Linked DNA regions of Kluyveromyces lactis. The protein of the gene in region 1 purifies or fractionates together with the protein of each later gene. This does not show direct contact. Links are inferred from orthologs where the notes say so. Each region holds a gene or a part of one and is shown on either strand. Other genes may lie near its edges.

Region 1 (4,067 bases):
CCTTAACTCTAACACCTCTTTCCAAAGCAGCTTCCACTTTTTTCTTTTGGAAAGCGTAATCGTCTCTATGTTTATCAGGCAATTTAGGAGCTTTTTGAGTCTTGTGTTTGAATTTACCGCCAACCGTACGCTCCGATGGAGAAGTCGGATCAGCCAATAGATTCGATGGAATAGTGGATTCTCTTGCACCAACTTTGAGTGGAGCAATTTTTCTTGCCTTAGACCAATCTTGGAATTTTCCGGATCTGAAACTTGCAGGAATCTTTTGACCACTTTCTCCGATGATGTACTTTTTGTTGTCCAAACCTTGAGTGTTCACATATTTCTTACGCTTCTTGTCCCACTTAACCGTAGCTGTTTGCTTGTGAACTTGTACCTTGTCATCGTTGGCTAGATCAAATGCAGCATTGGAAGCATCATTTGTGAAACCAGATGATATCTGTAATTGTTTATCTTGAATGTCACTAGTTGGTGCGAAATGTGATAGATAAAAAGTTGGATCTCTGAAAGTTTTCTTCTGCTTCTTCTTAATATTTTCTTGCTCTTCTAACAAGACATCGGCATCTTCAAATTCTTTCAATACCTCATCAGGCACTGAGTAACCAACTTCGTTGTCTTCACCTTTCAAAATTTCATCTTCTATACTATGCCTCAAACCAATCATTCTCTCTTTTTCCAGAAGTTCTTGTCTTTCTTTTGCCTTCCTTTGAATTGGAGCTATTTGTCTCCTCCTTCTCTTCATTAACACAGACATTTCATCGTCTGGATTCCTTGCGAACTCGAATACAGTTTCCTTGTTATTTCTGTGTTGCAACTTAGCTAAGAAATCCAATTTCTCTTTTTCGGCGTTCTTACCGAAGTATATATTCTGTTCGTCCCATCCTGATCTGAGAATTTCCTTTGACCTTTTCATGGATTCAGCAGACGCTGGTGTCCTGGTTCTAAAGTAAAGTTTTTCGGCTTTCAGGGCAACACCTTTCACAGTATTTAACTCAAAGTCAGATTTGATCATATTGCTATAAAGGTCACCCATACCATCAATCTCAGAACGTGGACAAGCACCAAGGACCATTCTTGTGGTGTAAGAAACCTTAGGATCGGTGAAATTATTATTACCCTCAGATTCTGCCTTCTTTCTGAGTATCTGGCACGACGATTCATACATGGGTGTTAAAAGGATCTTCTTACCCAAGAATAATTCTAGATCCAAGAGATAAGGTAGTTCATTTTCAGAGACAATCGAAAAGGCCCAACCTCTATTACCAGCTCTGGCCGTTCTACCTACACGATGAATGAAAATTTTTGAAGAACCTGGCAAAGAGTAATTAATCACATTCGCTAACAAAGGAATGTCAACACCTCTGGCTGCCACATCTGTCACAACCAAGATAGATGTTAAACCAGCTCTAAAATTATAGAGCTGTTGCTTACGGGCATGTTGATTCAAAGCACCATAAATATATGATACTAGGTATCCACAGTTCTTCAATAACTGTGTGACGTATTCGACATGATGTCTTGTTGGAACGAAAACGATTGTTGCCTTTTCGGATGGCATTTCGTTCGCATTCGGTAAGCGCCTTTTGGATTTTTTAGCCTTCTTTGCCTTCTTTTTCTTTTCATCTTCGCTGTCATCACTGTCAGAATCCGCATCATTCTGCTGTTTGAGCTTCTTTATTTGGGACTCCGTGGCAACAGGCATCTTGATAGCTTCTTGTAACAGATATAATAGATTGGCTTCACGTTCATCCTTTTTTATAGATATAAATAACATCTCCAAATTTTCTGATATCTTCGTTTCAGCATCAAGTCTAACCAATACTGGGTTTGACAAGCCTGCCTTAGCAAAATCAACCAATGATGATGGCAATGTTGCCGAAAACAATAATGTTTGTCTATTAGTTGGGAATGCCACAAGCAGTTCATTCAGTTGTTCCTGGAAACCCATTTCGAATAATCTATCAGCTTCATCAAATACAACATATTCGACTGATTTCAAATCCAAGTTCATTTCAACTTTTAAATGCAAGAATCTACCTGGCGTAGCAATGACGACGTCAGGATTCCCCATCATCATACCGAATTGGTCTTCTAAAGAGTCACCACCTGTTAACAAAATAGAACGTAAATCCGAGCCTTTCGAAAACTCTTTGAAAACTCTATGAGTTTGAATGGCCAATTCTCTTGATGGTGATAAAATAACGGCTCTAACACCAATCTTGGCCGAATGGGTCTTTAATTTTTCTATCATAGGAAGCACAAAAGCAGCAGTCTTACCTGAACCGGTACGTGCCATACCGACAATATCACGCTTTTGTAAAATAAGGGGAATGGTTTTCCTTTGAATTGGTGTAGGTTGCCTGAAACCTTTCTTCGAGATATTAATCAATACTAGTTTTGAGAGACCGAAACTTGCAAACGAACCTTTCTTATGTTTAGCCGCAGCATCAGCGGTAGTGTTGAAATAATCGTTTAAGTCATCATCCGATTCATTCGTAGCCTTCTTTTCGTCGTCCGAAAGCTCAAGACTTGGGAACTTACTGTCCACAATGGGACCTGCCTTGACTTTGGCTTTCTTGTTTTGTTTCTTTGGTTTCTTCTCTTTCTCTTCCTCATCACTAGAAAACTCGATAACATCTTGAACTTCAGCTTGGAAACCAATATTGTCATTATCATCATCAGAAATGTCACTATCTTCACTATCAGCATTTAAAGCAATATCACCAGCAATGTCGAAAGCATCCTCATCTTCGGAGGAGTAATCTTCTGCTGGGAGAGCTCTTTTGCTAGAATCAACCATTACTGTTAAATTTGATTAACCTGAGTTCGATATCTAACAGTTGATTTATGGCAAACAATGATTGGCCTTATAATCAATACGATATAAAAGAATATTTAGCACTACTGATATTAATGAGTTACTATCTCATCTCATCTCATCTCATCGCATCTCTTATTTGGAAAGTGATGTATTTTCAAAATTTTCATAAGGAAAAAGAAATAGTTTTCAAGACCGGCATAAACAGAATTAAACATCAAACTGACGCTTTGTGTGAAACCAAGAAGATCAAGTGACCTAAAACAAAAACTTCAACATTATGTGTCACGAATATTACCAAACTCAAGTAAATAGAACGTCATACTCTAAAATTTTACTATAACTATTTCAACTTGTTTCCCTGAATTTCGCCTCTGTACATTATCTTGGTTTTTTTTTTTCTATGCAAGCCAATCAATTCAGTATCTGACAAAAAAAAGTACATGAAGATCACAACTATAACTTCTCAAGGTTTACTGAAATAAGTACCAGCTATATCTTGTTAAAGCACCATAAAAGTGTCCCGAAGGAGATGCACCACTTTATATAGCAGACGGACAGAAGTTGCGAGGAATAATGTCGAAAATCACTTCAAGATTCTTAGAATTATGCAAACAAAGACGGTTGCCTGGATATCATGTCCAATCCATGCCATCTAAATTTGATAATATTGTGGTAGGAATGTCTGGTGGAGTAGATTCTTCTGTATGTGCTGCATTATTCGCAGCTTACCCGAACGTTCATGGAGTATATATGCAAAATTGGGGCAAAGATCAATCATTGACTAGACCAGAGGAGGATCCATGTTATGAGAAAGAATGGAAGGATGCAGAAAAAGTAGCGAAACATTTGAACATCCCAGTGGAGTTTGTGAATTTTGAGAAAGATTATTGGCTAAATGTGTTCGCGCCTATGTTAGAACAATATAGTATGGGCTATACACCAAATCCTGACATCGGTTGCAATCAGTTTGTTAAATTCGGAAAGTTGATGGATCATCTGGATGTGAAGTTCGGTAAGAACAACTACTGGTTGGTGATGGGACATTATGCTCGAATACTACGAAGAGATAGTGGTCCAGAGAGATCTGAACCACACTTGATGCGCGGATTGTATCAACAGAAGGATCAAAGTTATTATTTATCACAAGTTTCTGTTCCTTCTTTAAATCAAATGATTTTACCAATTGGTCACTTGACGAAACCGGAAGTTAGAGAGATGGCCAAAGAAGTAGATTTACACACTGCCA
Region 2 (2,774 bases), on another chromosome or scaffold:
ACACTATATGATGACAATAGAGACGTATGGATATTTTAGCCTATTTATACATAGAAAAAGAAGGACCTCAGGTTTACAACTTCTTCTTGGCTCTTTCCCAAGCATTTCTAGATTTCTTATTACCTCTTCTGCTTGTACTATCCTCCAACTTACGCTTGGAGTTGAAGATACTGAAATCTTCACCGGCGATCATATTAACCTTGGCCATGATTTCTCTTTGTTTTTTCATTCTCTTGTCAGTCTTGGATCCGTTGGGGTTCAATCTAGTGAAATTTTCTTCTTCGAATCTTTGAACATCACGTTCACGTTCTGTATCTCTTGCTGTCTTCACACCACCTCTACCATGGTTGACGATATTGGCACCGATAGAAGTTTCCCATTCCGGTTGTTCCGAGGAATCCTTCAAGTATTCTTCCATAGCTTGCATACGAGACCTGCTACTCTTATCCTTATGTTCTTGTGCGTTGAATTTATCCTCGAAGTGATGTTGCTTTGGTGGCAGAACGGCACTGATCTTAGGTGGTCTATAAACGTTATCTTTATCATCCACATCTTCTTCATTGTGAGTACTCTTGACAGCGATTTTCCCCTTGGCTTTCCCTCCAACTGATGTGTTATTGACCATTCCTGAACTGTTCGGCCTATATTGCATCTCTTCTTCACTATCAGAATCTGAGTCTGATACTTCTTCCTGGGAAGCACGTACGTCACTCAGTCCCTGCAATTCGGCTCTTTTCTTGGATTCTTCAACGTCTTTCTCCAGTCTAATGTACGCCCGCGTCAATTTATCCAGCTGGTACCCTAACTTCTTCTCCAAGGGCTTCACACCTCTTTCAAGAACAACTCGTTGTTCCACTGCCCTGACTCTACCCTCATCAACAACCATCTCTTTATTCAATTTCTGTCCCAATACCAACAGAAGCGAATTCAAATACGATAGCATACTCCCATTCTTCAAAGAAAGTAGAGAAACTTTTTCTAATTTATCACCTTTGTGACCTACCACCGCTGAACCTTGGAAAGGATGGGTCTCCTCATCATCATAGACTTCTTCTAACTTATCCAAGCTTTCTCCACAAGATTTCAAAGAATCTCTAATCGTTTTCAAAACAGTTCCTAACTCCTCAGACATGGCTATATTTCCGCTGTAACCCTTGTCAATAGAATGTAATGAGGTTTTATACATCAATAACAGTAGATCGAACCTATGCCAAACCCACACCAGACAACCAAACTTGTATCTGGCTGATACCCATCTCATCTCATCTCATCGCTTGATTCCAAATTTTTTTTTTCACTACGTTTCTTTTCGACATTTCCTATTGAATTTTTTTCTTTCAATGAGAAAAGCATACAAAGACAACTTGAACAACTAGCTCATCGCATGGGTTAACATGTGGTAAGAAGTCCATTCAAGGAGTCCGTGTGTCCGTTTGTGATTTAGAAGTAAGTCATCACCGAACAAGTCGTTCTTACAATAAAACAAAGATGCCTCAAAACGAATATATCGAACAGCACATCAAGCAACATGGTCGTAGATTAGACCACGATGAGAGAAAACGTAAGAGAGAAGCCCGTGAGGCTCATAAGATCTCTGAAAAGGCTCAGAAATTGACTGGTTGGAAGGGTAAGCAATTTGCTAAGAAGCGTTATGCTGAGAAGGTTGCTATGAAGAAGAAGATCCGTGCTCATGAGCAGAGTAAAGTTAAAGGAGGGTCCAAACCGTTGGATGAGAACGGGGAGGCTTTGCCTACTTATTTGTTAGACAGAGAACAGAACAACACTGCAAAGGCTATATCCAGTTCCATCAAGCAGAAGCGTTTGGAGAAGGCTGACAAGTTTTCTGTTCCTTTGCCTAAGGTCAGAGGTATCAGTGAGGAAGAGATGTTCAAAGTTGTTAAGACAGGTAAGTCTAAGTCTAAGGCATGGAAGAGAATGATCACGAAACATACGTTTGTTGGTGAAGGGTTTACAAGAAGGCCTGTGAAGATGGAAAGGATTATCAGACCTAGTGCTTTGAGACAAAAGAAGGCTAATGTGACGCATCCGGAACTTGGAGTCACCGTTTTCTTGCCAATTCTTGCGGTGAAGAAGAATCCTCAATCGCCAATGTACACACAGTTGGGTGTATTAACCAAGGGTACTATTATTGAAGTGAACGTCTCGGAATTAGGTATGGTTACTTCTGGTGGTAAAGTGGTTTGGGGTAAATATGCTCAAATCACGAATGAGCCAGATAGAGACGGTTGTGTCAACGCTGTGCTACTTGTGTAAGAACAAGTACAACCTATTACTACCAAAATTCCTACTCATCTCAATTATTCCCTATTGCATCACCCCCCACTCCGCTACGTTATTGTATATTACTATTTCATTTTAGAACTGAGTTCCCTTATTAGAAAGTACTGGCTAAATCATCATTATTTAATCATATATTTAGCGTTAAATACTGAATTATAGCCAATGAGACTGACAATTTCATGCCTCGCTGCCGTTGAGATACCAGCTATTCCAATGCATTGAACTAATTGCTACTCACACGTCGTGTCAATTGACCTTCTGGACCCTCAGGTTACCCTAAGTATTCATCTTTATTGTTTCACAATAAAGTAGGGTACTACCCTACCAAATCATACCAAATAATTTTATCTATATATATATATATATTCAGTATTATACATACACATTCTTTGCGCTTGATATACACAAACTTACCTTCAAAACAGCACTTATTAGGTCAGATTCTAGCACTGGTCCATATACAGATACTAGCG

The links.
Region 2: the proteins of DBP10 (region 1) and NSA2 purify together in Saccharomyces cerevisiae (affinity purification with mass spectrometry; 3 studies listed by BioGRID). This does not show direct contact. The link is inferred for Kluyveromyces lactis from reciprocal best matches to the Saccharomyces cerevisiae genes DBP10 and NSA2.

The regions. Positions count from the first base shown.
Region 1 is NC_006042.1:2,294,830-2,298,896, forward strand, and holds the start of DBP10 (ATP-dependent RNA helicase DBP10), read right to left. Parts: upstream 2,801-4,067; coding exon 1-2,800. Other genes in the region: SLM3 (tRNA-5-taurinomethyluridine 2-sulfurtransferase), read left to right, coding at 3,395-4,067. UniProt on the Saccharomyces cerevisiae protein: ATP-binding RNA helicase involved in the biogenesis of 60S ribosomal subunits and is required for the normal formation of 25S and 5.8S rRNAs.
Region 2 is NC_006041.1:1,205,334-1,208,107, reverse strand, and holds NSA2 (rRNA-processing protein NSA2), read left to right. Parts: upstream 1-1,488; coding exon 1,489-2,274; downstream 2,275-2,774. Other genes in the region: small subunit rRNA maturation protein LCP5, read right to left, coding at 74-1,261. UniProt on the Saccharomyces cerevisiae protein: Involved in the biogenesis of the 60S ribosomal subunit. May play a part in the quality control of pre-60S particles. Under normal, rapid growth conditions, high levels of NSA2 would allow the progression of pre-60S particles through the ITS2 processing.